Linked DNA regions of Cricetulus griseus. The protein of the gene in region 2 purifies or fractionates together with the protein of the main gene of each other region. This does not show direct contact. Links are inferred from orthologs where the notes say so. Each region holds a gene or a part of one and is shown on either strand. Other genes may lie near its edges.

Evidence for each region.
Region 1: the proteins of Pds5a (region 2) and Wapl purify together in Homo sapiens (affinity purification with mass spectrometry; 6 studies listed by BioGRID and IntAct, with this or other methods). This does not show direct contact. The link is inferred for Cricetulus griseus from reciprocal best matches to the Homo sapiens genes PDS5A and WAPL.
Region 3: the proteins of Pds5a (region 2) and Cdca5 purify together in Homo sapiens (affinity purification with mass spectrometry; 4 studies listed by BioGRID and IntAct, with this or other methods). This does not show direct contact. The link is inferred for Cricetulus griseus from reciprocal best matches to the Homo sapiens genes PDS5A and CDCA5.
Region 4: the proteins of Pds5a (region 2) and Smc1a purify together in Homo sapiens (co-immunoprecipitation; 8 studies listed by BioGRID and IntAct, with this or other methods). This does not show direct contact. The link is inferred for Cricetulus griseus from reciprocal best matches to the Homo sapiens genes PDS5A and SMC1A.

Annotation. Positions count from the first base shown.
Region 1 is NW_023276807.1:184,659,780-184,667,232, forward strand, and holds part of Wapl (wings apart-like protein homolog), read right to left. Parts: coding exon 6,538-7,453; intron 3,480-6,537; coding exon 3,361-3,479; intron 1-3,360. UniProt on the Homo sapiens protein: Regulator of sister chromatid cohesion in mitosis which negatively regulates cohesin association with chromatin. Involved in both sister chromatid cohesion during interphase and sister-chromatid resolution during early stages of mitosis.
Region 2 is NW_023276807.1:132,698,357-132,705,809, reverse strand, and holds part of Pds5a (sister chromatid cohesion protein PDS5 homolog A), read left to right. Parts: intron 1-965; coding exon 966-1,092; intron 1,093-2,287; coding exon 2,288-2,368; intron 2,369-5,483; coding exon 5,484-5,624; intron 5,625-6,969; coding exon 6,970-7,085; intron 7,086-7,453. UniProt on the Homo sapiens protein: Probable regulator of sister chromatid cohesion in mitosis which may stabilize cohesin complex association with chromatin. May couple sister chromatid cohesion during mitosis to DNA replication.
Region 3 is NC_048596.1:53,259,713-53,267,648, reverse strand, and holds the start of Cdca5 (sororin), read left to right. Parts: upstream 1-2,913; 5' UTR 2,914-3,049; coding exon 3,050-3,095; intron 3,096-3,277; coding exon 3,278-3,369; intron 3,370-3,455; coding exon 3,456-3,521; intron 3,522-3,601; coding exon 3,602-3,637; intron 3,638-6,740; coding exon 6,741-7,166; intron 7,167-7,332; coding exon 7,333-7,413; 3' UTR 7,414-7,936. Other genes in the region: Zfpl1 (zinc finger protein-like 1), read right to left, coding at 80-226, 300-372, 493-686, 1,882-1,993, 2,270-2,379, 2,704-2,851. UniProt on the Homo sapiens protein: Regulator of sister chromatid cohesion in mitosis stabilizing cohesin complex association with chromatin. May antagonize the action of WAPL which stimulates cohesin dissociation from chromatin.
Region 4 is NC_048604.1:107,481,998-107,490,091, forward strand, and holds the start of Smc1a (structural maintenance of chromosomes protein 1A), read right to left. Parts: upstream 4,397-8,094; coding exon 4,288-4,396; intron 4,208-4,287; exon of another isoform or gene 4,064-4,207; intron 1-4,063. Other genes in the region: Ribc1 (RIB43A-like with coiled-coils protein 1), read left to right, coding at 6,700-6,714. UniProt on the Homo sapiens protein: Involved in chromosome cohesion during cell cycle and in DNA repair. Central component of cohesin complex. The cohesin complex is required for the cohesion of sister chromatids after DNA replication.

The DNA.
Region 1 (7,453 bases), about 52 Mb from region 2:
GTCCTAAAGACAAATATCACAACCTCTTAATAAAAATAAGTGAAAGGGATAATTTTAAATAAGAATGTATTTAAATAAGGTATACTCAAGAACAATGTGCCAATGCCAGGCGGTGATGGCACACACCTTTAGTCCCAGCACTTGGGAGGGAGAGGCAGACAGATCTCTGAGTTCGAGGCTAGCATAGTCTACAGAGTGAGCCAAGATAGCCTCCAAATCTACAGAGAAACCCCATCTCAAGAGAAAAACAAAAAAAGGGAAAACAAACAAAAAACTTATGCTATAATTAACTTATAAAGTATTTCACTATAAAAAGTTTGGAACACAGAATAAAGTAGAATACTATCAATCATCAGGTCTCAAAGTATAAGCTATGAACACTGTAGGGATATATCAACTCTTTCAGATGACTACAAATTCAGAACTATTGTATTTGCCTTTCTCGGTGTACTGAAATTTAAATCCCTTTGGATGGTACTGAAACCACTGTTTGATAGTATCTTGGCAAGAATTTATAAAATCTTCAAATTACACCTGTTCTCATCACTGCCACAAAGTATAAGCATCAGTTCATATAAAGCCTTTAAGAAGAAATACCAGTTTTATTAAATCTCAGTGTTGTGTGAAATACCAAACAAGTGTGCATAAAACACTTCTGTATACATCAACTTTTTGAGCTGTGTAGATCTAGCCACTTTTTTCAGGAAAAAAAAAAAAAAAAACTTACTTCAAAGATTGACAAACATGGTTGGGTATCTGGCAAAAATATTTCCATAAAGGAAAAAAGGGAGGCTGTCACTGTCAGCTAATTTCCCTAAGGCATTTTGATGCCAATGAGAAAAAAAAACTAAAATTCTGGAGAACTTGATCTATTACGGACTAAACATGACCAGTAACAACAAAATTTGGTTTGACAAGATTAGCATGAATTTTTGAGTGAGCATAATGAAATGTGTGCATAACTCAGGGTGACTAGTATTTTCCAAATGGCCCACATATAAGGTTATAAAGCATGCATGGTTAAAAATACCTGTTCAAAATGTTAAGGGGAAACAACAGGTTCAAATTTAACAGTATGAAAAGCTTACAAATATGGGATAATCATCAAGAAACTCAAATTAAGTTTCTGGTGTAGCACACCAAATATATTTTAAAATATCATTTGAAAAGGTTATCTAAAATACAATCATATAGCATGTTTATGTTAGATTTTCCCAGTGTTGGGATTAAAGTCATGAGCCACCATACCAAGTCTTCAAGAATCTTTTTAAGCTTGCCTTTGCAGAAATTTACAAAAATAAAGATAAAACAATGTATTCTTCCTTCAATATTTTTGGTTTTAAATAATTTTTCATATAAGTTATGTTGCTATGTCATTGGTTTATTATTTTAGTAGAATTGTAAACAATACATTTGGAATTTGTTTCTTTATTTCTAATCTGATAGGGGTTTTTTGGTTTTTTTTGTTCCCCCCACTCCCCACCCTGGTTGTTTTTTAAACCATTTTTATTTGAGATAGGGTCTTGCTATGTGGTTCAAGCTGGCCTGAAACTACACACATACATATGAGCAAAACTAAAGGGACTCAGCAAGATATGTGGGTTTGTATGAGAGAGAGAGAGAGAGAGAGAGAGAGAGAGAGAGAGAGAGAGAGAGAGTGTTGTGTGTGTGTGCATGTGTAACAATAGTAGGTAAAGAAGTCATGATGTTGAAGAAGGAGGTATAAGGGAGGAGGACACGGAAGGGAGAGGTAGAAATAATGTAAACACAATACTTACATATGGAATCCTCTCCCCAAAATAAATGAAATAAATGTTTAAAAAAACATTTATTTAAAAAAGTCTATGTGATTGGGCCATCCCTTGCCTATTGGTAAATATTGCTCTGAAAACTAACATACTTCATAAACAAATCCATAAGAACTAAAGTGCATCAACAACTACTGTGAAGATACTCAGTGGGCTTTTACAAAAGTAAAATAAGAAAAAAATAGGAATAGATACAAAAATTAATTCAACTGGAAAAAATAAAAGTTGCTGACAACTTTTAACTACAACTTAGAAGAACAACACACAGCAGGCTTTTTAAATGTAAGAAATATTCTCAATACCTGTGCAAGGTTATATTAAATTACATGCTGCAATGCCTGAAAGTGAAGGTGGATCACGATCACGACCTTACAGTATGCACAAAAATTCACTCAAAATAGATCAAAAACCTAAATAAAACTACAAACCATAAGCGAAAAACAGTTTTGAAAGTCTACACCGAATTTGGCAATGAATCCTCAGCTTTGATATTAAAACCACAGACAACAAAAGGAAAAGAGTTGTGCTTCATCAAAAATTTAAAAAGTCGGCACAGGGCGTTTTTTAAACACACGCCTTTAGTCCCAGCACTCGGGAGGCAGAGGCAGGTGGATCTCTGTGAGTTCGAGTCCAGCCTGGTCTACAAGAGCTAGTTCCAGGACAGCCTCTAAAAGCCACAGAGAAACCCTGTCTCGAAAAAACCAAAAAACAAAATCAAAAATTGGCAAGGAGGGGGGGCAACACGAAGAACTGGGAAAATACTTGCAAACTATGTATCTAATATGGAATTTCTTTTTAATTAAATTTTACCACTTTATTATACAAAACATTGCAAATTAAAAAAAAAAAAATCAAACACCTAACATAGGCCCAAAGATTAACTCACTGAACTTCTCTTCTTTACAGAATAGCTTAGAAATTCAGTCCTTCGTCATTCCCTAACATTTAGCAATACTTGTTCTCTTTCCTACATGTTATACTGTGCTCACATGTACATTTATTTATATACATATGTATGTATATATGTGTGTACATATATTTTTTAATGGCTAGACTTCAAATGTAAGAACACTTTTTTTGAGATTGTATGGACTCATCTAATATCACATATTCTAATCTAAGTCCATTTTCCTGCTAATTTTTATTAATTTTTCTTTACAGCTTAATAGTATTCTCTCTCTCTCTCTCTCTCTCTCTCTCTCTCTCTCTCTCTCTCTCTCTCTCTCTCATACACACACACACACACACACACGCATGCTCGTCCATTCATCTGTCACTGTGGGGATGGGCTTTGAGGTCTCATACGTGTTCAAACGACGCAGTGTCTCAGATCACTTCCTGTTTCCTGTGCAAGATGTGGAACTCTCAGCTTCCTTTCCAGCACCATTTTCTGCCTGTGCGCCGCCATGACCCACCATGATGATAATGAACTGAACCTCTGAACTGCAAGCTAGCCCCAATTAAATGTTGTCATGTGTCTCTTCACAGCATTAGAAACCCTAAATAAGACATGAGTCCTCTAATGATAAATAAATAATAGTGCTTTACTTACCCGTTTGGGGCCACTAAAAATCTTTCTGGTATTTTCCTTGGATTTATCGCCTTGTTTATTTATGGGCTTCTTCACACTCTCAGGCACACCAGGCAAGTCCTCTGTAAAATCCAAGTTTTCTGAAACGGTAATCAAAACTAGCTAGCTTTCCAGTATTTCAAGTTATCAGAAAACTTAAGGCCATTTTTTAAACATAATATTGGGGTTAGGGTGAGAAATGAATGAAAGATTAAAAGCAGCAACAGCTGAAAAGCTACTCTAATCCTCACCTTCTACTTCAAAACCTGGCTGTTAAACATGTGTTCTAGTTTTATTTTGTGTTAACATAAAACAAAACAAAAACAAATATTTTCTCTTTTACTGAGAATGGCTCTTTGTAGCTAGCGCCCATAGTGGCCTGGAATTCACTAAATATCCCTAATTGGCTCAAACTCATGGCAATCCCTCTGCTTCAGCTGCCCAAATACTGAAATTACAGTCATGCATCACTATGTCTGGCTTTAAATTTTTTCCAAAATAAAATTTGAACTTCATAGATCATGTAACTACCAGATACATATGAGTGCTAGATATATAATTTATATCAAACTCATAAATATCAAATGATACCTAAGTTTCACATATTTCTAGATTTTTTTTGTTGTTATTGTTTTTCGAGACAGGGTTTCTCTGTGTAGCTTTGGAGCCTATCCTGGCACTCGCTCTAGAGACCAGGCTAGCCTCAAACTCACAGAGATCTGCCTGCCTCTGCCTCCCGAGTACTGGGATTAAAGGCGTGCGCCACCAACGCCCGGCTATTTCTAGATTTTAAGTTCATGAAATCATGTTAACTTAAAAGAATACTTGTTGGAAGCCAGCTAAGCAGAGCTGATGTAGCAGAGCTAGACTCCAAACCCAGGTGGTCTGGTGTCAACACTGCATGCTTCCAGTACTCACTGAATGCATTTGTGCTGGGTGGGGATATAGAATGCTTTGATGCAAGATAAGTAATTTGGTGTGGCTCTCAAAAGTCAAAGACACTGTTCAAACTGTAAGAGGCTGCTGGCTTCTATAAAGATAATCATTTCTTAAAAAATTTTAGATGAATATTATGTATATGAGTGTTTTGCCTACATGTATGCCTACACATACCTGCCTGGGAACTTGCAGAAATGTTCATGTAAACTTCATTTCTCAAAGTTAGTCTATTTTTCACATTTCAGAATTGAAGTCCTATTATTACAACATGTAACAGATTTTAAATTGCAGATGAGAAGAATAACTTACTATACAAATTGAGCCTAAAAGTCAAATAAACTGCAGCAGGACAAGAGTGTAGGTACTGCACAGCATTATGACCAGATCTCAAGTGTCTAGTGAGGCTGCTGCAAACTGCAATCTTCCAGAAGAGGCTGATGATAACACTAGATAAATGTTAACTATACTTTCTTAGGGAACTGAAGAGGCTCTAGAAGTTCCTGCTTTAATTCCAGTTAAAACCAAGGATGAATCTTATCTGGGCTGAGAGTGTAACTCAGTCATAGAGCATGTTTCCCCTGTACAAATCACCCCCAAAACCATGCAAACTACTTTTAGACCCAAAAATGCTAAGTAGCAGGTAGTGTCAAGTATGATATACTCTATTTGGGAATCTAAATTCACAAATACTATGGAAATTCTAATTCACCACAATTACAAATGTCTACAACTTTAGCAGGACAAAAAATTTTTTAAACAATTAAACCAATATAGCAAAGCTGTATTTGGTTGAAAAGACCTTTTATTTCACAAATTCTTCCTCACATAAGTGAATCCTCTACACATCACCCTTTTCAAGTAAAGCTTTAATTATAGCAAAGCTACCTATATATATATATATATATATATATATATATATATATAGAGAGAGAGAGAGAGAGAGAGAGAGAGAGAGAGATTCAACTCCTAAGAGAATCTTATCATTGAGCCTACAGTCTTAAGAGACAAATTTTCATTATTAAAAGAGAATTCTTACCCAGTACTTTACAATCTATTTTGTTTTTGTTTTTCCCAGACAGGATTTTTCTGTGTAGCTCTGCTGTCCTGAAACTTACTCTGTAGACCAGGCTGGCCTAAAACTCAGAGATCCACCTGCCCAGCATACCTTTTGATCTTATGAGACTACAATTTAAGAGGGTTTGAGAATGTTTCAAAAAAAAAAAAAAATTTTTTTTCTTTTTTAGTTTTGTGCTACTTACAAAGGGTTTAATTAATTTGAGTATTTCCCTCATAAAACCATCTCTTATCAGTACAGTTCTAATTATCCAAAATCCTTATGTCTCCATTGCATTTGGATTTTCAAAGCTAAAACAAGATATTTGGTATCTCTGTCCCAACAGTTTAAAATTCTCATATAAATTCACAGGTGCTGGCCTGAAGGCAAGGATGTAATTATATCACTAGACCCAAGAAAAATGAAAAATGGGTGTTTATTGGGGACAATTACACAGAAAAATACAAAGAACCACCAGAGCGTTTCTCTGCTCTTCCTACTGATCCACTGACCCAACAGAAGGAGCAAGCAATGAAAAGCCACACCTCAGGCTCCTCTCTTTCTGCTTAGGTTCGCCTGAAGCCACACCCAAAGGTCCAAAGACCAAATGCCTACACTGGCCTAAGGCTGTATATTTCAGTGGCAGACCTTATTATGTGTGAGGCCCTGGTTTGGAATCCAATCTGAAACCAAAAACCTTAAAGGCTAGTCACTGATTTAAAGCTTCGAGACTCCCAGTCTTTCATAATTTAAGACCTAAAAATTTACATGAAAGTTTTATACCTCTGAGGCAATAGATGGGTTCTAAATAGATGCTTCTACTAATATTATAGCAAACTATGGCTAGAGAAATGTCTCAGTGGTTGGGAGAATTTGCTGCTCTCCCAAAGGATCGGAGTTGTTTTCAGCACCCAGGTCAGACAGCTTACAACTCTAATTCCAGCTCTAGGGGACTTACTGCCTCTGGCCTCAGAGGGTACTTGTATTCACATGCACATACCCACATACAGGCACACACATCTACATATTAAAAATAAATCTCACATATATAAAACAAACTAAAACTAAGTATCTACGAAACAGTCTAGCCTTTGATTAAAGCCTGAGAAACAAATCATATGTTAAACATATTATTATGTTATGTATATATTTCTTACAATTCTTACCTGCATTATTAGTACTAGGCTGACTATCCTGGGAATTGTCGCTGCTTTCAGGGGGAGGCTGCAGGGAAGGTGATGGAGCTGTTTTAGTTCTTTTTTTGTTTGTCTTTCTTTCCACTTGACAGTCGTCGTCATCATCATCTTCACTTTCACTGAGATCGTCAAAGCCAAAATATTTAATTTTGTAATTAGAACTTCCAGAACCCCCTTCATCACCTCCTGTCTCATCATGATCTTCAAAACCAAAAAATTCAAGTTTAACATCCTTTTTGGATTTAGTATTACTAGGTCGAAATCTAGTAGTGGTCTTGGAAGTTGCAATATCTGCCTTTTTCCTGAGCCGGCCAGCCTCTCCTAAGTCTGCAGGAGTGGACGCCGTGAACTCATCCATACTCCGTTCCATTGTATCCTGGATGGTAACATTACAAACTGACAAGCAGGATGGATGTAAAACAGTGTAATCTCTAGTCCGTCCAACTGTTCCTCTAAAACTGGTCCCACAACTTACACCACCTTTCTTTGCCTGATTCAGGCCATCTTTACTTGAGTCACTGTTTGCTTTGGCTAAGGCCTGACTGGTGCCATCCATTAGCTTATCGAAATTTAATGCTCCCTGTGAGGATTTTGCTTTATTGGCCCTACAGTACGTCCTACAGTTGCTTGGCCTAAGAACACTTTGTATAATATCTTCTTCAATGGCTTCATTTAGATTTTCCAATCGGTTTTTTAAATCTTCATCCTTCATCTCTAAAAGAGAATCATTATCCAAACTCAGAATACAGTCTTCTGATCTGATATCTTCAAAATCATTATCCCACTCATATAAACCAGTTCTTACAGGTCCTTTGACTGGACAACTTTCAGATGGAGACTCTGATCTTTTCCCAGACTGGGTGTTCCAAGTATCATTTGTTTCCTT
Region 2 (7,453 bases):
GTCTTTCTTTTTGGGGAGGGTTGTTTTTTTTGTTTGGAGCAGGGTTTCTCTGTGTTGCTTTGGAGCCTGTCTTGGAACTGGATCGGTAGACCAGGCTGGTGAAAGGACTATCTTTCTAAACATTGTAGAAAACTGTAACACTGTGACAATCCTTCCCCCCACCTTTAAAAGCTTATATGTTTTCATTCATCATTAAATACTAGATGGGTTGATTACTTTTTTGTTGTTGTTTCAAGAAAAATTTTAAAACACTTTAGATAATTCATGCTTTCAATTGTTTTAAACATCTGTATTTATACTGTAGAGTATAGTTACATCATTCTATAGACTATACATTTTAAAAGGATTACTTTATTGTGAGCATATGGGTAAGTGACTTGTAGAGAATACTACATGAGAAATTAGGGTGATGTTTGTTTAGAGTACTATTTAATAATATGGTTCAGTTATCACAGTAGGCTGGGGGTGGGGTGAGGGGAGTATGACAGTTGAAATTCCTTTACCATTGTCAGCATTGTTCCCTAGAGTAGAAATTCTTTAATACCTGAGATTGTTATTGTTTTGTTATTGTTTATGTTTATGTTTATGTTATGTGGTTGAATCTAGAGCTTCATGTATGCTTAAAAGTGCTCTACCACTGAGCTGTATTTCCCATCCTTATTCTCTGCTAGAGAGAATCTTGCGCATTTGTTCAGCCAGCTTTATGCTGATTCTCCCTTCTTAGTCTCCTGAGTAACTAGGATTATAGGTCTTTGCCACAAGGTGCTTAGATTATTGCTTTAAACTGGAAATTTTAACTGGCATGATGACATTTAGGAGGGCAAAGAGGTGCAACCCGAGCATGAGGTCAACCTGGGTTACATAGCAAGACCTTATCAATAGCAAACAAAAAAGTATATGAAAGAAAACAGACCCCAGGGAACTTTGTCTTTCTATATGCCTTAATTATTTTCCCTTCTTTTTAGCAATAGCCACAATAAGAAGGTACAAATGCACATGTTAGACTTGATGAGTTCTATCATCATGGAAGGTGATGGAGTTACTCAAGAATTACTGGATTCTATTCTTATCAACCTCATCCCCGCACACAAGGTCTGTATAGTATCAAGATATTAGAGATCAGTTTACTTAAAGAAACCAGTTACTGGCTTTTGCCCATTTACAATTTTGTATAATTCCTATTCTGACCCTTGAATGAGTCATATTAGTCTTAAATCTATTATCTTTAAAAGATACATTGTTTTAAATACTTAAAAGTTTTTTATTTGCTTTGTTAAAATATGTATGAGTATTTTACCTGCATGTATATTTGTGCACTATATGTGTGCAGTGCCCACAGAGGCCTGAAGAGGGCCTGGAGTTACAGAGTTGTGAGGCACTTTGTGGGTGCTGGGAATCAAACTCCTATGCTTGTAACAGAGGCCAATGCTCTCAACCATGGGCCTCAGAAATACGTTTCTAGCTTCTTTTTGAGAGGTACAAGATGAATAAGATTGAATCTATTTTGTAGTTGAGAGATGTTAACAGGTGTTCTTTAAAACAATAATTTTTAAAAATAATAAATTTTTAAAATTATATATGCCATGCCCACCATCTTTCTTAGATCCTTTAATTTGTTATAGTACATTGGGATTTAAGAATAGTATTCATCACTTCAGAAACAGGAGATCTGGGTGTGATGGCTCACACCTTTAATACACTTGCTTGGGAAACAGGCAGACAGATCTCTGAGTCCAGCTTAATCAATACAGTAAGTTCCAGGCCAGCCAGTGCAACATAGTGAAACACTGTCTCAAAAGGAGGGGGTCATGCAAGTAAAAATATGGTTGATCAAGGGCCTTCCCTACCCTTTCTTTTTTTGTGGTTTAGGAACTTGAATCTAGGGCCTCATAAAAATTAGATGATTAGTCTACTATACTACTGAATCACTTCCCCAGAACTTTTCAAGAACACATTGATTAAACAATGAAATATTTAGCATTTGGGTTTGGGGAGGGCAGCTTGTGTGTAGTTAAGTTCATGTTGGCTGTCATACAAACTCAAAGGCCTTAACATCATTTTTAGTTTAGTAAAGCTTTATACAGGTTGGACTTTTGGCTACCTGTCTAATGTATTTTAATGTTTGATTTGTTGAGTTCATTTGGCTAGTACCTTCTGTGTAAAAACCTTGAATGGAATTCACTTAACTTTTTTCCTATTTTGGTAGGTTTGAATACTTAACTGTTCAAATGATGCTGTCTCATCAATTCATCTATTCATTTGTAGCTTTGCATGATTTGTTTTTCAGAACTTAAATAAACAGTCCTTCGATCTTGCAAAAGTCCTGTTGAAAAGGACAGTCCAGACTATTGAAGCATGCATTGCCAATGTATGTATTTCTGTATACTTTTATTTCAGAACTCTATGATTCGTGGGGTATTATGTGAATTTATTAGAATCATTTATATACAGATATATTTCTCATATAAACAGTTTTATTCAGATGAAATATGAAAACTTACATGCAAATATGACCACAATTGGAAAAATGTAGCATAACCATAAAATGTCTTTAAACTGGCACGAGTGATAGATATTACTTTAAAAACTAACTACATTTCTTACCCTTCTGCATCTGTATTCTTGCTTGTCATATCCCTCCCAAGTACTTGAAACTTTTACTTTGTCTTTGTATCTTTTCCCTGCCTTTTGCAAAAGGGTCTCATTATATAGCCATGGCTGGCCAAGAACTTTCTAGGTAGATCAGACTGGCCTCAGAAATCTGCCTGCCTCTCTACCCTTTGGATCTCTGTCTTCATCTGTATATATTTTCCTCTTTGTGTTTTCTGGATCATTTATCTAAAACTCTGTTTCTTTAGTAGATGTTTGTTGTGGGGAGCTGGGGTCAGAGGATAACCTGTAGGATCAGTTCTGTTCTTCCATCACGATCGGGGAATCAAACTAAGCTCATCAGGTTTGGGCGCAGGTGACTACCTGCTGAGCTAGCTCTCCAGTCTTATAAATAACTGTTTTTAAAACATTCGTTGATAGCTAGACAGTGGTGGCACATGCCTTTAATGCCAGTATTTGGGAGGCAGAGGCAGGTGAGTGTCTGTGAGTTCAAGGCCGGCCTGGTCTACAAATCAAGTTCTGGAACAGCCAGTGCTATACAGAGAAACTCTATAGGGGGACGGGGGCAAACTTTGACACACACACCCCCACACAAAAGCACATATACAAGCATGTGCATATATTAATTCCTGTAATAGAAAATTTTTAATTAAACATAAATCTGTTCTGTCAAAAGATAGAATTTGATAAAAATAAATAATTTTAAAATTAAAATTTATTACTTTAAAACAGTAATTCTTTTACAAATTTACTCATGCATATCTATTGTCTTTTACTTTTAGCTCCATTAATACAAATGAGGGAGGCAAGGGAAGCAGAAGGAGGGGTGAAGGAGAATTTTGGTAAAATGAAATAAAAATAAAAAAATACAAATGGATTTAAATTGACACATAGTTATTTCCCTTATTGCCTTATATTAAAGGTTTTATCAGTGTTTTTCTTTACAAGCCATCTTTGAGAATGCAACACTATTGTGGAATTACCTCCTTATATATAAAAAAGAGGGATTATTAATTTAAATTGTATAAAATTGCTATGTCTGTTATTAAATTAATAACAAGGTAGGCTACCATGAAAGTCCTGTTCTCCATTCTCAGAAACAACAGTCAGTAGGTGTTAGTATTCAGGCATCTGTACTGGCCTGTCCTTGGGGGTTCTAACAGGATATGCCCTCAGCTGCAGCCACTAACAGCACCTCCTGTGCATATTCATTATGTTCCCATCCTCCTATATTTCTCTCCCTGTCTCTGTCCTCCCCTCCTTCCTCTCTCCTGCTGCTCCTGTCCCTGGAGGCTAGTCTTCCCTTTCCCTTATTTATTTATTTATTTATTTATTTATTTATTTATTTATTTTCAGGGCAGGGTTTCTCAATGGCTTTGGAGGCTGTCCTGGAACTAGCTCTGGTCTGGAACTCACAGAGATCAGCCTGCCCCTCCCTCCTGAGTGCTGGGATTAAAGGCGTGTGCCACCAACACCCTCCCCCCTTCCCTTTTTTTACGATTCCTTTTCCTAATAAAAAACCCCTCAGCTTGAACTCTGTTGCATGTCATCTTTCTCTCTTGTGCTGCTTTTTAAAAATTATAACAAGTTCTGATCCATTTTCAGAAGTATCACCCCATGCTTATTTGTGTGTATATGTATGTTCTTTTATATGTATAGGTGTTTTGACTATGTATGTCTGTGTACCATATGTGTACCTGGTATCCATAGGGGTCAGAAGAGGGCATCAGATCTCCTGGGACTTGAGTTACAGATGGTTGAGAGCTGCCATGTGGGTGCTGGGAATGAACCTGAATCCTGGAAGAGCAGCCAGTGCTCTTAACCCCTGAGCCATCTCTCCAACTCCGACTCATAGCTTTTCTAAAGAAATACATATAACTTTATGATGTTCAAAACAAATGCTGATTTTCATAGAACTGTGTTTTTAAAATTTTGAAATCTAGTTCCTGGCTAGAGAGATGGGTTAGTGGTAGAAAGTGCTTGCTGTTCTTACAGAGGACCCAAAATTCCCTTCCTGACACCCATGTCTAGTAGCTCACTCACAACTACCTATAACTCCAAATCCAGTGGATTCAGTGCCCTTTTTTGGCCTCCATGGTTGTACACTCAGAATATATACACACAAATGAAATCTATAAAAAGTTAAAAACATTCTATATGTATATAGGAGGGGTGTGTTTGTGTAAGTGACTTGTGATTGTTTTTCCTACAGTATTCTTTTATGTATCCAAGTACCTCTGGGGGGTGGGGATATTTCCACTTAGTTTCCTTTGGAGACCAGAAAATAACATCACATCACTTGGAACTAGAGTTACAGGCAGTTATGAGCCACACTTAATGGATTTTTGGAAAGTTAATTGAGTCTTCTGCAAGAGCAGTCCATTCTCTTAATTGCTAAACCCTTTTTAAATTATCAACTAACTTTCATGTCTTCAACCTTAGTCAAAATGTATTTGACTTTCACTAGACATCACTAAACTCATAGGAAAAATATCAGATTGAGACTTTATAAATTATTTTGCAATGCTGAGTGATTGATTTATAAGTGTTCTTCTAATGAATTATACATGGTATCTAAATTGTTTTATTTTAATGAAAATTAAAGTTTTCAGAACTGTCGTCTTTATTAGAAACACAGCCAATAATCAGTGCTTTAATTTTAATCAGTGTTTTAATTCATGATTTGAAAATATTTGGAAGTTTGTTTCTTGTTTAGATGACTATGTTAGTAATTTAGTAGGTAATCTGTCATTCCTTTCAATTGTATGTGTAATGCTCATTCATTGTTTTTGCATGGATATTTATAGAAAATTGTTTTTTTAATTTTTTTTTAAAGTAAAGTAACACATCTTTTATTGTAATGTCTCCTCTAGTTTTTCAATCAAGTCCTGGTGCTGGGAAGATCGTCAGTCAGTGATCTGTCTGAACATGTATTTGATCTGATTCAGGAACTTTTCGCTATAGATCCTCATTTATTGTTATCTGTCATGCCACAGCTTGAATTCAAACTGAAGGTACCCTTTAGGCTTTACAGGGGGAAAAAAAAGTGTATTTTGAAGATTTTTCACTATTTCTAAAGGAATGAAATAGGAGTTTAGTTTATCTTAGCTTCATGACATCATAACATGTCTAGTTGTTATCTGATAGACATAGTGACACAGAGATAGAAAAGTGCTGTTGTCTTTGAAATTTATAATATTCAGTATTTTTACTTTAAATAATACTTATATTTAGATACTAAATTAATTTTATTGTGTAAATAATGGGTTTAATCATTTTTATGCCACATCAGTATATTAGGATGTACATATACACACTAAATAAATGTAATATTATATTATAAAAGTAATTGATAAACTATTAATGTAGAAATTTTAAATTATTGTTCCATACATTCATTAAAATGGGTATTGTCAGTTCAACATACATCTTCATAATTTAATATTTCACTGTGACTTAGATCAACACTCCTGTATATCAGCAATAACAAGCCATTCTGCTCCTGAAGGCCATTTGAAATACACTTGAGGAACATGTGAAATCTTACAATGAGGGCTTTAGGTCAACTTAGCAGTTTGGTTTTAGTAGGTTACAGATGTAAAACCTCACATTAATTGAAATAACTATGGATCTGCAACTGTAGTCACTCACGAGTAATAAAAAATTTCCTTATACTCTATTGTTTGACATTTAAGGCATTAATATTTCCTTAGAACATTAATTGGATTAACTGGTAAATTTTGGATATACTAAACACTGGTATCTCTCAGCATTGTTTTATTTTGCTTGAGAAAAAGCTTTTTAAAAATGCATTTTTTTACTACTATGTTAAAGCCTTAACATAATTGTCATTTTACATTTGTTTTATACAAATGTATGTATTTTATTCCTGCTGCCCAAAAGCTTTCTGCGAGTGATTAACTTGAATTTTGAATTCTCAGTTTCCTTAGTAGTATTGTTCTTTATCATGTTTTCTAGTCAGTGGAGAATTATTATTAAAACTGTAAACCAAAACTTTTAAGTGTTCTGTATCCATAGCATCGAGTCTTTATGAAGGAAGTTTACTAGGGCAGGAATTATTTGTCACTTTGTCCTTTGTGGAATTTTTCTAAAGTCTTAGACAATGTGAAGATTTAATAAAATGCTTATATTTGTACAAAGTCTCTATAATCAATGTGTAACTTGCAGATAAATTGTAAAGTAGGCATAAATTAGCAATAGGGAAGATGTAAGAAGGTCATCAGAGAATCATGCAATCTAACATGGAATCAGATTGTTCATCATAATAGTTGAAATATAAGATTGTTTCTACTTGGGAAGTATAGTGCAGGTTCTCTTCATTGTTTCTTCTCTTTGTAGAGCAACGATGGCGAAGAACGATTAGCTGTGGTTCGACTTCTAGCAAAATTGTTTGGCTCTAAAGATTCAGACTTAGCAACACAAAATCGGCCTCTTTGGCAGTGTTTCCTTGGGCGGTAAGAAAGCATGACTTTTGAATTTTGTGTGCTCTTAGAGTCACATAATTACGACTACATATACCAAACATTAATTGATATTTGTTGACATTTGTGTAGTAATTTGCCTTTTAGAATAAATTGTGGAGCAAAGTATTTATGTATGAGTGTGTGTAGTATAATATGTGGGTGCATTCTGAGTAGTTTTTATTTTGTAGCAACATTTCAAGCTTTAGTAATATTAGATCTGCAAAATCTGTTGTCTGAGTTGAAGCGTATATTTACAGTAGTTGTTTCAATGTGTTAAGCATATACTGTTTGCAGAATTGTTTCTATAGAATTAAGCATCTTTCTCTCTGTCTCTGTCTCTGTCTCCATTATGTAGCTTT
Region 3 (7,936 bases), on a different chromosome or scaffold from region 2:
CCACAGGGGCTCCTGAGCGCCCTCCACACAAATCACCCACTTTTTTCTATTTTCTGACTGGGAAAATTCTACAGCTCACCGTGTGTCAGGGCCTCAGTACTAGCCATGTGTATGACTGTGTGCTGCTCAGGACAGTTGGGGGGAGAAGGGGGACAGGGAACCTGGCCATAGAAAGTTGGAGCAACAGAAGTGCTGTCTATCTCCTCTTGTGCAGCAGGGCTGGTGGCTGTGGACAGAGAGAGAATGGTCAGTGAAGCAGGGAAGCAAGGCCCAGACAGCAGATGGAGGCCACCACTTACCATTGAAGCTGGACCAGTCAGAGAAGTCTGGGGAATTGAGGGGCTCAGGCTCTGGGCTTATTGCCTCATCGATCTGGAGAAAGGGATCTAAGTCAGTAGCCTGCTCACTCATGTTACCAACCCATCCAATCTGGCTCAGGTGAGGGTGAGGGCGAGGGCAAACAGATGGCCAGATAGACAGGGGGATTCTCACCAGAGGGAGGCCCAGTCCTGCCCGTGCCCAATTGACTGTGGCTAGCTTCTCTCTCAGTGCTGAAGCCACAGGGCCAGCTAGATTGGCTGGGGGGAAGATGGGGCCATTACAGCTGGGGCACTGGTAACCTGCAGGTGCCGTGTTTCGTGGTAGCTGAGCAGCACGTTCATTGATGCAGGCCCAGTGGAAGAGATCTTAGGACCCATGAAACAAGAAAGGAAAGACATGAGAAAGACAACTTGTTGGGCTCTTAGCCTAGGCCTAGCAATGCCTGCCCCCCCCCACACACACACCCTAGTCAGCTCATTGCAGGAATGAATGAACATATATGTGGATACCCAGGGTCATTCCTTTTCTTCTTCACCCCAGGTCCCCAAGACTTCATTCAACCTTCTTGTTAATACCACTGTACTAAATCACAGTAGATTCTATCTACTTGGCCAGCCCATAAGGAGAAGGTGTGGCTGGGAAGAAAATGTCATCTACCAGAATCTTCTCTGGGCCTGAACCCATCACACTCCTCACGCTAAAGGTTAAACAACAATAGTTTCAGGCTGGGTGTGGCAGCAGCTACTTGTACACCTATCTCTTGGGAGGTAGAGGCAGAAGGATCAAGAGTTCAAAGTCAGCCCCATGAGATCCCAGCTCAAAAAGACATTAATACAAAAGCACTTTTAGGAAAGCTTCCCAGACATACACACAGATACATGCATATATCCAGAGGTACAAATATACATATGCTAATATATAAGCAAACTCAAAAGCCATTCCCTCAACCTACACTAATTGTCACATGTTTAAGATGTACACATCTGTACATTCAAGGCAGCTAATACTCAAAAACCAACACCCTCATGCCATCATGCATTCCATAGGACATGTGTTCATATACATTCATTATCCATTCACTTTCCCATACGTAGTAATCAAATTGTCCATTTGTATGAGTGTACACATAATCTCACAGAGAAACACATTAAAGCCTGCCCTTTTGAACCAGCATCTTGAAAAACTTAAGCTGAGTCTTTTACAGCAGGCTGTGACTACTGTCTCCTTCTAGCTAACTGTAATGCACGAGTGAGGCTTCCTTTCTGTCCAGTCTTGGAATTAATAACGTTCCCCAAAAATGGATCTTGCTCACAGCCACAGATCAGTCATCTCCAGCTCTCCAAGACTGGCAGAGCAGGAAGGAAAGACACTGAGGCTGTGGAAGGGACAAGGCTTGATTAGGCTTACGAAGCAGGGAAGTACCTAACAGATTTGGGATCAGAGGCTCTGGCCTCCAGGTTTCAGAGACTTATTGTCTCGAAGCTTGAAAGGTGCCAGCAAACCAGTCTCCAAGCTGGATCCTGGGGCTGCCCTGACCCCTTCCCAGTGCCCAGGCCTTACCATAGCAGACAAGACGGGTTGTCTCTCGACTGGTCAGGGGTGTGTTGCACAGGCGGCAATTGGGGTTGTAGTCACTATCTTGTAGCCACTGCAAGTAGGACTGCACGATGCACTGGAGTGGAAAAGAGATGTCACAACTGGTGCCCAGGCTCTACGATTAATATACTACTCCAAGGCCCAAGTGCCTTGTTTCTTTCATCAGATTCATTTTGTGTGTTTAGTCAATGAACACTTACTGAGCACCTACTGGAGGTCTAACAGAGAGCAACATAAACCAAGTCCTTGCCCTTGTGGAGCTTACAATCTAGCGTTGAGTCCCTCATGGATTTGGAAGGAGACTGGCCTGCCCACCCAGTGCCCTGCTCAGCCACCGCTCTGAACGTCCCACCTTGGCGTGATTGGCTACCAAGCAGTGCTCACAGACGTTAACTCGATGTTCGAAGCAAAACAGGTTTGTCACCTTCCTCTTGGGGCACTTGCAAAGGCCCATGACCGATCCTAGAGAGAGGATCTGAGTTAACAGGAAACCAGGTTCATGTGATTGCCACTTTGTTCTTACCAACCTAGTTCGTTTTTTTTTTTTTTTTTTTAATCTCTCAGACCCGTCCCACACTAGTCCTCAGCACGGGTACGGCCACGCCCCCAGCACAGACCGTACTCATTCCATCAGGACCCAGCCCCTAGCCAGATCTCTCCATCAATTACTCCAATAACACCAGCCCGCCCCTAAGACCCCACCCCCTCCTGACCCCACCCCCATCCGGCAGACCCCATGCTGAGTCTCAGAGAACCTCCGCGGTACCGGTAGCGACCGGTGCGTACTGTGGTGGGAAGCGCAGAAGGTCGGAGACTGTGTTGACCCACTCCGGTAGCTGAAGCTCTGCTCCCTTCGGCTCCAGCCGCTCTGATTATCCCTCCGCTGCCACGTCTCTTCCGGGTGCGGCGCGCTCTGATGACGCCACAGCGCCATCAGGCCACGCCTCTGCCCACGCAAGACGTAAACCTGAGACGACAAAGGCATAGTCCAAGGGGCAGCCTTCTTCTTGCGTCACTTCCGATTCCGCCTTCCCGCTGGCGGGTGATTTGAACGTTTGCAGGAACAAACTTCCCGGTTGGCGCGAGCCTAAGTTGGCTACGGTGGTGAAGGAGACTGAGCCGGACCATAGATATGTCGGAGCGGCGAACGAGGTCCGGAGGGGCCGCGCAGCGGCCTGGTGAGTGGAGGACGCTCGACAGCCGTAGGGCCGTGTCGTTTGGACAATGAAACTTAGCTCCCGGGCAAGTTGGAAAACGGCGTCAGCTTTTCCGAACTCGTCAAGCGCCTGGTTTCGTTTGGTTTTTTATTTTTTTCCTCGAACAAAGTTTTGCTTATCTTTAAACATATTTCCCTTTCCAGGACCCAAGACTCCATTTATTAAGTCTTCGAAGAGGTCCCAGCGGAAATCTGGCTCAGATCTCCCAAACATCTTTCCTGAAATATGGCCGAAGGTGAGATCCGAGTTCCTCAGGTACTGACCTAATGTAAAGCTTTGAACAAATGTAAAGCTCATGGTAACCCTTTCCCCTCTTTTCAGACACCTCAAGCGGCTCCGGTCAGAAAGGCTATCATCTTGAAGAAGATCGTGGCTCATGCAGTAGAGGTGAGGGACTAAAAGGGATTTGAGAGTGAGATGTCAAACCGGCTAAGCTGTTGATTGATGGGTTGATGTTATCTCTACAGGTCCCAGCTGTCCACACACTTCGAAGGAGTCCTAGGGTGAGTTCAGTTCCACCTGCTTATTTGTATGGGATCCGGTTCTCCTTAGAAAAAAGGGTAGACATACTAAGCACCACTTCCACCCAGGCAGCTGAGAACAACTTGCCTCTTGACACCTTTATGAATTGTCACTTTAGATCTCACTGTGTAACACTGTTGTCCTGAATTGAAAGTTGCTGTAGACCAGGCTAGCCTCAAACTCAGAGATCCAACTGCCTTGGTCTCCCCAGTGATGGTACCAAGGATTAAATGAGTCCATGCTATCAGGACTTTCCTTCATTTTTAGTTTTTAATGTTGTTGGGTTTAGTTTGTTTTGTTTTGTTTCTCAAGTCAGGTTTTCTCTGTATAGCTCTGGAACTCACCCTGTAGACTAGGCTGGCTTCAAACTCACAGAGATCCACCTCTGCCTTCCTGAGCTGTGCACCACCACCACCCAGCTAAGTAAATGTTTACAAAAAGGAAAGAGTAATTCTCAGCACCCAAATCAGATGGATGTCAACCATCTGTAGCTTCAGTGTCCTCTTCTGGCCTCCATGGACACGTGCATACAAAATACAAACTGTAAAAGATGAGTTATATGCTGGGAGTTGGTGGCGCACGCCTTTAATCCCAGCACTCAGGAGGTAGAGGCAGGCAGATCTGTGAATTCGAGGCCAGCCTGGTCTACAAAGCGAGTTCCAGGACAACCTCCAGAGCTACACAGAGAAACCCCATCTTGAAGATGAGTTGTATGTACATGCTTTTATAGTTTTGGTAGAACTTTTAAGGACTTTTGTCATTTGTCTGTGAACACCTTGTTTTTTGAGATAGTGTATTAGTGTCTCATATAGCCAAGCCTGGCCTTGAACTTAGTGTATAATTAATGCTGGTTTTGAATTCCTGATTCTCTCGCTTCAAACACCCAAGTACTGGAATTACAGCTGTGCATCTCTATACCCAATGATATTTTGTTCTTTGAACAAGGTTTTGTTATTGAGTTGGTCTGATTGGCTTGGTACTCTTTGAGTAAGATGGGCTGGCCTTGAAGTCAAGGCTATCTTCCTTCCTAAGCCCCAAGAGTTCTGGGATTATAGTCCCTAGTTTGATTTCTTATCCTGATGTGTGGTGCTGGAGGTCAATCTCAGGATATCACACATGCTAAGCAGGTGCCCTGCTGTTGAGATAATCACAGCCAGCTTTTGAACTGAGGTACTGAGAGAGTAAAGCTGGGATGTCATAGAAAGATTTCTCTAGGAGTATGTGAGTGATTTCATTGCAACCCTGGGACCAAGGGGAGAGCCTTGAGTTAATATGATTAGGCCCCAACTAAGATAATGGCTGGACACATGTCCTATCACACCTCCTCCTGGAGAGCTTCCTGACTACTATAGTTCATTGACCCATTTCTCTGCGGTTACTTTATCATCATCTAGTAGAGTACTTGCTTACATGTTTGATATCTTTCCCTCTAAACATAACTACCTTAAAAGTGAGGACTTCCAAATTCATGGCCAGCCTGGTCTACATAAAGAGACCCTTTCTCAAAAAGTACAATCTGGCAGGGTGTTGGTGGTGCATACCTTTAATCTCAGCATTGCAGGGGTGGTTTGCCGAGGCAGGTGGATCTCTATGAGTTCGAGACCAGCCTGGTCTTCAAAGAGAGTTCCAGGACAGCCTCCAAAGCCACAGAGAAATCCTGTCTCAAAAAACTAAAAGAAAAAGAAAAACAAACAAAAAAAAAAGTAGTACAGTCTGGGTGGCTGTGTGGCCGCAAGAGGATGGGGATGTAGTATTTAGAGGTGGTACCACTTCTGATGGCATCCTTTTGTTTTCAGGACAGGGTTTTTCTGTATAGCCCTGCCTGTCCTGGAACTCACTCTGTAAACCATGCTGGCATCAATTCATAGAGGTCCTCCTGCCCCTGAGTACTGGATTAAAGGTGTGTCCAACCACACCCATCTGTGTTTTTTGTTTTGTTTTTTGTTTTTGTTTTTCGAGACAGGGTTTCTCTGTGGCTTTGGAGGCTGTCCTGGAACTAGCTCTTGTAGACCAGGTTGGTCGAACTCACAGAGATCCACCTGCCTCTGCCTCCCGGGTGCTGGGATTAAAGGCATGCACTACAACCACTCACCTTGTTCTGCCTTGCTTTTTTTTTTTTTTTTTTTTTATTTATGTATATAACATTCTGCCTCCATGTATATCTGCACACCAGCAGAGGGCACCAGATCTCATAACGGATGGTTGTGAGCTACCATGTGGTTGCTGGGAATTGAACTCAGGACCTCTGGAAGAGCAGTCAGTGCTCTCTTAGCTATCTCTCCAGTCCCAAAAGAACCTTTTTTTTTTTGGTTTTTTGAGACGGTTTCTCTGTGTCTTTGGAGGCTGTCCTGGAACTAGCTCTTGTGGACCAGGCTGGTCTTGAACTCACAGAGATCTGCCTGCCTCTGCCTCCCGAGTACTGGGATCATAGGCGTTGGCCACCACCGCCCAGCTTGTTCTGCTTTTTAACCCACCCCCACCCAAGTTTTCCTCATGTTTTCAGTGCCACAGTGAAAGTGCTGAGGTGCCAGTGTTTTGTTTTGTTTTAAGTTTTCCCTGATATATTCCCGGTGCCCAGAACATTCCCTGGTGTGGGACAGGTCACTAATAGATATTTATTGGTCAAATGAACATCTTATAAAAATCTTTAGAAGCTATATGGCAGATGACCCTGGAAGCAGGCAAAACAATTAGGAGGCTGTCAAGCCAGTTTAGGTATGCTGGAACTTTATGTCAAGTAGCAAATTGTTGCTATATGCCAGGTACATTTGAGGGTGGCAGCAAATGTAGTGAATCTTGTCCTAAGTCAGCTTCTCCAAAACAGTAGTGATTATCTCTTTTTTTCTTTCCAACAGTGGAGGTAGAACCCAGGGCTTATGCATTTCTGGGCATGTGCTCTATGACTGTTTGTTGCTTAAAATCTGTCCTGGACTGGGGATGGAACTCCTCAGCACAGTGTTTGTCTAGCATGCACAAGGTCAACCATAAAATACACAAGAAACGTAGAAATCCTGTGCTTTGTGGGCAGTCTTTCCATCCTGAATCCCCGAGCTGACAAGAGTTCTCTCGCCTGTCCTGATACAGATCTCTTTTATCTTGGAAAAAGAAAACAACCCTCCTCTCAAGGTACCCACAAAGGAGGACCTCTTCAAGACCTGTAGTGTCCCTGGTACCCCCACCAGCACCCCAGTGCTGTATACTCAGAATGTTGAGTCTAACTCTGAGGAAAGAGAACTGGACACCAGAGACTTGGAAATGTCCCAGAAAGTCAGGCGATCATACAGTCGGCTTGAGAGGCTCAATGCTGCCTCAACCTCCACCCCTGGCCGCCGATCCTTCTTTGGCTTTGAGGGACTTGAAGACTTGCCCCAAGTCTCACCTGTCGTGAGTTCAAAGTTAATTGAGATCCCCAAAGTATCTTCGAAGCCCTTGATTCCAGACACAACGCTTCCTGGAATCTCTCCTCCAGTCATGAAAGAGAAGCGAAGGAAGAAGGTGCCGGAGATCCTAGTGAGTAAGGGGCGGGGTCTCTCCCACAGATGCACCGTATTGGTTGGGGGGAGGGGGGCAGGACTCCAGGTTTTGAGGGAAGGCAATTCCTGAGGTGTGGATAAGTAACATTCTCTGGGCAATGTGGCCGCTTCCCCACTCAAATGCCCTCATTTCTTTCTACCAGAAATCGGAGCTGGATGAGTGGGCTAAGGCCATGAATGCTGAGTTTGAAGCTGCTGAACAGTTTGATCTTCTGATTGAATGAGATAAAGTGGGGGTACACCTGGCTAGGCTCTCCCCTCTCCCTGTACATATTGACTTTTGAGTAGAGCAGGACTTGTTACCCAGAAAGGTGTAGCTGGCCCCTTGTTATATTGTGGCTAGTTACCCTGGACTTTCTTCACAGTATTGGGGATGAGAAGCTAATTCTGTTACAATCCTGCACTGTCAGAAACAAGTTCATCGTGGGTTATCTCTCTGGTGTTGCCCTCTGTTGGTGGCTTGGAGTCCTAGAGTCTGATAGGGAGCTCACAGGCTAGAGACAGTTAAACTCTTGAGGAAATCTGAATATGGAGTCTGGGATGTGAAAGAAGGAGGTAGTCATAGTTTTTTTTGTTTGTTTTTTTAACACGAGTGACTGTTAAGTAGGAGCTGTTCATGTCTGTGTTCTGCTGTTGACACATTGGTGAATGAGGTACTGATGTCTAGGGCAAAGTAAGTATACTTCATGGTATGGGCTCCAGATGCCACCAACTTGAGATTTGTGGTCTCTGGTCACCCTTTCCTCA
Region 4 (8,094 bases), on a different chromosome or scaffold from region 2:
GGAAGAACAGTCAGTGCTCTTAACCTCTGAGCCATCTTTCCAGCCCCCAGGATAACGATTTTATATGAATGCTGAAGCACTTGAAGGTGAACTGTTATTAAGTCTTCAATTATTTTCAAATGTTGAAGTGAGTACAAGAGAGAGAGAGACAGAGAGAGACTGACTTTGTATATATAGACCAGGGTGTCCTAAAACTCAGAGATCCACCTGCCTCTGCCTCCTGAGTGCTGTGATTAAAATCCTACACCACCATATCCTGCTAGCACATATACGTTTGACCATGTTCATAATACAATACTTGGAAAGAAGGTATAAGAAAACCTATGAACAGGCTGGTGAGATGGTTCTGCAGAGTAAGGCACTTGCCACCAAGCCAGATAACCTGAGTATGACCTCCAGCACTCACATAGAGAAAAGAGAGAACTGACTCCTGCAAAACTGTCCTCTGACCCCCACACATGCACCAAGCTTGCCACACAAGCATAAAGGATCTAAGTTTGGAGTCTTAGCATCCACTTAAAAAGCTGGGTATGATGGAGTAGGCCCATAACCTAGCATTGAGAAAGTGGAGACAGGGCTTGCTCGACAGGCAATATGGACCGGTTGCTGAGCTGCAATCCAATAAGATATCCCATCTCAAAAAACAAGATGGAATTGATAGGTGTTGGTGGAGCACACCGTTAGTCCCAGCACTCAGGGGGCAGAGGCAGGCACATCTCTGAGTTCAAGGCCAGCCTGGTCTACAGAGGGAGTTCTAGGACAGACAGGACTGTTACACAGAGAAACCCTGTCTTGAAATAAAGAAATAAGGTGGATTTATCAAAAAAAGACACTAACATCAACCTCTGATACAAACACACACAATAAATGTCGTTTTAAAAATAATTAAATAAAAACATTAAAGAGGAAACTTGGCATGTTTCTGAGTCTGCTCAGATATGTACCACTGAACCACATACTGGGAAAACTTTTTGTACTTTTTGAAATCACTCAGTCCAGTCTCTTGATCAAACAAGGGAAAAGGAGAGAAACTTAACAAAACAAACTAAAGTAGCAAAACCAGTACAATTTTTTTTGATACAGGGCCCTGCTATGCAACCCTGGTCCTCACTATGCAGCTCAGGTTAACCTGGAACTCATAGCAATCTTCTTGCCTCAACCACACAGGTGCTGAAACTATGGGTATGTGCCATCACACCTAGCAAGTACCAGGTTCTCAAACTTTTAAAATTACCAAAATTATATCATTAGTACACTATTTTTATATGGAGCTTCTTTCAAATATCCAATTTGTGTGTATGTGCATGCATATGGAGGCTAGAGGTTGATGGTGGGTGTCTTTTTTTAAATAACTGTTGAACTTATTTTTTTGAAACAGGATCTCTCTTGGCCTAGAAGCTCACTAACTGAGCTATAATAGCTGGCCAGCAAGTCCCAGGTATCCTCCAGTCTCCACCTCTCCAGTTCTGGATTATGAGTATATACCACCACACACAGCTTGCTTGCTTGCTTTTTTTTTTTGTTTTTGTAGACCAGGCTGGTCTTGAACTCACAGAGATCCACCTGCCTCTGCCTCCTAGGTGCTGGGATTAAAGGCATGTGCCGCCACCACCACCTGGCTCACACCCAGCTTTCTAAGTGGGTACTGAGAATTCAAACTCAGGTCCTCATACTTGTGTGGCAAGCAGTTTACAGACTGGGCCATCTCCACAGCCTTCTCTTTCATCTGACAGCATCCTGAACTCTTTTTAATACTTGTTAAAATACCAAGGCAGAATCAGCTATTTTCTTAAAAATACTACATCACATGATTCATGCAACTTTGTGATTCATGTTCACATTAATTACCCAATTTAGCTTATCCAAAAGTCTTAGGAAATAGGCATTTCCTCTACTTTAAAGAGGAAGAAACCTAGTCATTCCTCAAGTTAAACTGTCAGTGAGTTCTTTACTTCAACTGACAGGGTGATAAAAACAGTCTCCCTACAACATCCAGCTCCAAGATCCTTGCTCATTTGTCCTTCATTCTGTTACTGTTTGTTAAACACCTTAAAAACATAAACCTTGTGAGGCTGGGGATGTGACCCTGCTGAGTGTGTGCCTATCTAGCATGTACAAGGCCTTCAGATCAAACCCAAACACTGTATTACACCAGGTGGAAGTGAACACCTGTAATTCCAGCACTCTGGAGATGGAGGCAGGAAGATAAGAAGGCCATCCTTGAAGTAAGTAAGAATTTAAGACCAGTCTGAAATGAGATCCTATCTCAACAAATGAACAATAAAAAACCAAGATCAACCTGGCGTTCAACAATCAGCAGATCCGCAGGGTGGTGGTACACACCTTCAATCCCAGCACTTAGAAGGCACAAACAAGTGGATCTCTGTGAGTTCGAGGCCAGCCTGGTCTACAGATCAGTTCCAGGACAGCCAGGGCTGTTACACAGAGAAACCGTGCCATGGGTGGATGGAAGGACAGATGTATTGTTATACAGTCTAGATTCAACCACACTTCCAGTTACAGCAGAACTAGCACATAAGTTGGAATTCATCTTTCAAGTATCAATTTCCAACCTTTGAGCTTCTTCCTTGATTTTTTCAAGGATAACACCTTACAACTACAAGCCTTTTTACTCAATTCTTCAGTGTTGTAAACATTTTTTCTAATGTGCTTCGTGAACACTAACAAAGTCTCACTAACAAAACATCTCAAGAAATGGCTTCTTGAGGACACTCATACACTAGTGATGAAGATACAGACACAGGTACTATAAATTTGTGACAGAAAATAGTCTATGCTGGCACATGCCTTTGACCCCAGCACTCAGGAGGCAGAGGCAGGTGGATCTCTGTGAGTCCAAGGCCAGCCTGATCTATCTACACAGTGAGTTCCAGGACAGGCTCCAAAGCTACACAGAGAAACCATGCCTCAAAACACCAAAAAGAAAGGGAGGAGGAAGGGGAAGGAAGGAAGGGAGGGAGGGAGGGAGGGAGGGAAATTTCCGTCTGTGTGCCAGAGAGAAAGAGCAATTTATAAAGTGGGAACCAAGGGTTCAAGGGATGCTTCACAGAGCCAAACTTTGAAAGATATGCAGAAGGAAGATGTGGTAGAATATACTCACTTGGGGAGGGGAAATTTGAAACCATAAGGAAATTTGAAATTTGAAACCATAAGATATGGTCTCAAAAAAAAAAAATAATAGAGAGGGTAAGGACTCGGGCCAAGGGCCTTTTAAAAACAGCTGGATTGCCAGGCATTGGTGGCGCATGCCTTTAATCCTAGCACTCGGAGGCAGAGGCAGGTGGATCTCTGTGAGTTCAAGGCCAGCCTGGTCTCCAGAGCGAGTGCCAGGATAGGCTCCAAAGCTACACAGAGAAACCCTGTCTCGGGGAAAAAAAAAAAAAAAAGATGTTGCGATAGCAGGCTTAAGTCTGGAAAAGTAGGCTTACCTACTACCAAAGTCAATTTAAGCTATCAACTTTAACCCCTTTTTTTCAGAGCATTTAAAACGGCCTGAATATTATATTTTGTACTTTAACTTCTTTCTCCTCTAAATAAGTTTCCTGGGATCACGGACTTGACTTATTTTCCGCATAAACTTAACCGATAAAACCGGAAGCACTCAACAAATTTGGCAAACAAACAAGTTCAGGCTCATTAGGGCTTCCTGGTAGGAAAGCGGCAAATCAAGGCAACATCTCTTAGGTGTGTAGGGGCGAGAAACGGAATCCCACTCTGCTGGGAGAAGTGTTGTGTCTAAAATCCCAAAAGTGTCACAGCTGCACACAGGGAAAAACGAGCGTTCCAGTGAGAGTCGCGTTTGCGGAGTGGGGCTGGCTAAAGCAGAAAGTATACTATTTGGGACCGAATGCCAAGGCAGAGACAACATTCCCAAAATTTCCCAAATGTGTCGAACTTGAGACCAGGAACCTGGTACAACGCAGAGCAGAAAGGAGCCACAGGCCAAACAACTGTCAGCAAGTTCCAGGAAAGCGTGTTTTGGCGGGAGGGGTTGTGGGCGAGGCAACCCATAGTCCCGCCCATACCATTCTGCCCAGAGAGGGGGTTTGCACAAGACTCGGCCACCTGACATTTGGGAAGGGGCTCGAGTTAAGCATATGGCAGAAGCGGGAGAGAGTTCGAGTCGAATCCCCCCTCAAGGAGAGCAAGGAACATATTAGGGTTCAAGCGTCTCAGGTTGCACGGGGTAGGTTGTACTATTCTGGAGATGGACAGGGGGACCGGATCGCGACGCCAGCAGGGCCGCAGCCGGATTTATCATCTCACCAGAGCCATTGGGTCCAATGATGGCGGTGAACCTCTGAAATGGTCCGATAATCTGTCGACCCTTGTACGATTTAAAGTTCTCGATCTCAATCAGCTTCAAGAACCCCATGGCAGCGGCGCTACCGTAGGCGAGGCCGCAGATTACTCCTGGGAACCGAGGTTAGCCCGCGCGGGAAATACCGCGGTGCAAGCCGGGTGTACGGTAAACCTCGCGATAATAAGTACAAGCCAATGAGGATTTCCGGGGCCAGAGGCCAGTCACTTCCGGCTCGTGCGTGGGTGTTTTGACCCCGCCCCCCTTTGTCGTTGCTCTGCAACAGTCAAAGCGGTAACGGACTGAACTGGGGAAGCTTTAGTCCCCAGAAGGACTACTATCGCTTTGGGAGAGAATCAGAAGGCAGGCGGGGCCTGAGCCCACGCTTGCTGAGACAGAAGTCACAGCAAGGTTATGCCCTCCCCGTTGCTAAGGACTAGTAGGAGGCGGTGGTTTGTAGTCTGGGCTGTCTAGGGCTCCAGTCGGAAATTAGAAGGCACCCTGGGAGGGGTGGGCAGTTTGGACTAGAAGGGCGGATCTTAGGGAGGACTTGAGTGAGGTAAGATTGGAGTGTGAAGGAGGATGAGGACACTCCTAGACTCCTTGACAACGGAAATAGAAGTTGGGGAAAGTTGTGTTCTGAGATACTGCCCTTATCGCCTGCTTCTCTCTTATTTCCCAAAGCGGAATTCAAAGGCTGCCATGTAAATCCTAGAGCCAACTTGGACCCAATCCACTTACGAGCTTGAAAATTAGAATTCTGTACTGAGAAAGGTGTCTTGTGTGAACACCAGGGGTCCAAGTCCTTAAGCCAGTGCTCCAGTTTGTCCTTTTCCCCTTTCTCCTTACTACGTGTTTCTCCCCAATCCCATTCCGCCTGCATCATATGTCTATGGCACTGTACCTTCATCCCCATCTTTCTCTTCACTCTCATCTCCTTTGTCTACCTCCCTCATTGGCTTCTCCGTTCCCCTCCTCTCTCTCTCTCTCTCTCTTTTTTCGAGACAGGGTTTCTCTGTGGCTTTGGAGGCTGTCCTGGAACTAGCTCTTATAGACCAGGCTGGTCTCAAAAGAACTCACAGAGATCCGCCTGCCTCTGCCTCCCGAATGCTGGGATTAAAGGCGTGCGCCACCAACGCCCGGCCCTCCTCTCTCTTCTTAATACCCTGCCCTTATCCATTCATTGCTCATTTCCAGCCTTCATCCTTTCATCCACCTTCTATTATCTTATGCCTGCTCATTACTAAGTGATGCTCTTAGCAACCCTGAGGCTTCCCTTTAGTGGCCTTATAGTATGGCAACAGTTTGAATTTATAGGCTAGTGCCATTTTCAGAAGGTGGTCTCCACAGCTATTCCTGTAACTTTTTTTTCCAGACAGGGTTTCTCTGTGTAGCTCTAGCTGCCCTGGAACTCACTCTGTAGACCAAGCAGACCTCCGAACTCAAGAGATCCATCTGTCTCTGCCTCCTGAGTACTAGAATCAGAGGCATGTGCCACTACCACCCAGATTTGTAACTATTTAATGATTCATTTTTATTTGTGAAGTATGTGTGTATGTATGTATGCCACAATCACGGGACATCAGGTCCCTTGGAGCCGGAGTTACAGGTGGTTGTAAAATACCTGATGGTACTCTGGAAGATGGGGAAGTGTTTTTAACCACCAAGCCATCTCTCCAGTCCTATTCCTGTAACTGTTTTTAAAGAATGCCTAAAAGCTGGGAAAGTGAGAAAGTTCAGTTGATAGAATCTGATGGAAGCCAAAAATGAAGCTGTTGGTAAAAAAGTCTCAGTCACAGTCACAGTCAACAAGAAGGAATAAAATAACCAAAGGCTGAAATCTAATATAATTTTTAAATTTTTACTATTTAATTTTCAAAGATGACATGGAGCTTGGGAGAAAATTAAACTGTATCCCTAATTCTTTTTTTTTAAAGATTTATTTCTTTATTATGTATACAGTGTTCTGTCTGCATATGTCCATGCAGGTCAGAAGAGGGCACCAGATCTCATTATAGATGGTTGTGAGCTGCCATGTGGTTGCTGGGAATTGAACTCAAGACCTCTGGAAAAACAACCAGTGTTCTTAACCTCTGAGCCATCTCTCCAGCAGTTTCAAATGGATTAAAAACAAATGATAAAAGCAAAACTTTAGGAATTGTAGAATAATATATATGAGAATATCTTTATGAATTTAGAATAGGGAGATATTTGTTTTACATGGGGTTTTTTTGTTGCTGTTTGGTTGGTTTTAATATTTTTTTATTCTTTTTTGTGGGAGAGGCAGAGTCTCTTTACATTGCCCTGGCTGTCCTGAAACTCACTATGGAGACCAGACTGGCCTCAAACACAGGGATTCACCTGCCTCTACCTCACAAATGCTGGGATTAAAGGTATGTGCCATCACATGTGGCCTTTTTAAAAATCCTTTTATGCTTTCTTAGATGTGCCAATGAATGTGGAGCATATTCATCCCCACTCCAACCTCTTTCCTCTAAACCCCTATCATACCCCCCTGTTGTTTGTAACTCCCCAATAGTACTTCCCACATGTGCATGGAATGGACCTGCAAAGAATTGACTCTTCCTCAATTCTTCTAATTGGCATCAACTTCTAATAGCTCTTCAACTAGGAATGGAGCCTCATGAGCTCCTCACCAATGCTTGAAGGTTCATTGGCTTGTTGTTGTACAGGTCTCCTTCACGGCTGCTGTGAATTCATGAGTGCATGGCCCTGTCATGTCTAAAAGACGGCAGCTCACAGTACTCCTCCCCATCCTCTAGCTCTTTACATCCTTCCCATTTCTTCTAACACAATGTTCCCTTCTCTTTTTAGGTGTGAGGCTAGCCATTTACCCAGCCCTCCCTCTTCTTAAAATAGCCCTACTTAAAGCCAATATCCTTGTCTTTTAACTTCAGTGGTCTCCACATTGACCTTCTAGCTTCTTCAATATTGTTTTCTGTTGCCCATTCATCACACTGACAAGCAGCTTTTCTGAAATAAAATGTCCCCTTTATTTAATTACCTATTTAGCCAAATAATTGGTCCATGTTCCTTCATATTTTTGGAAGCCCAGTTTTGACACATAAGTGGTGAAGGGTTGCTAACATAAATTTTGTATTTCTCCTCATACAGGAGTCTTTTTTGGAGACAGCTTAAACACAAACTATTACATTTATTTTATTTAGTTGGGGGAGGGGAACATGGGCATGCACATGTGGAGGTCAGAGGACAACTTGTAAGAGTTGGTTTTTTTTGTTGTTTTTTTTTTTTTTTTTTTTTTTTTTTTTTTTCCTCTGCTTTCTCTGTGTAATAGCCCTGGCTGTCCTGGAACTCATTTTGTTGACTAGACTGGTCTTGAACTCACAGAGATCCACCTGCCTCTGCCTCCCGAGTGCTGGGACTAAAGGTGTGGGCCACCACTACCACCACCACCACCACCCCACCACCCGGCTAGGAGTTGGTTCTTTCTATCATGTGGGTTCAAGCATCAAACTCAGATCATCAGGCTTGTTGACAAGTATCATTACCCATTGAGCCATCTCACCAGCCTTGAGACAATTTCCTTGAGACTGGTTCTCACTCTGTAATTGAGAAGGACGCTGAACTACTGATCCTCCTGTCTCCATCTCCCCAAAGTGCTGAGATTATAGGCATGCAGTACTCAATCCAGTTATATGTGGTGCTGTGGATTGTACCCAGGGCTTCATGTATGCTAGACAAGCACTTTTCCAACTGAGCCACACTCCCAGGCCTATTACTACAGGCTTTTA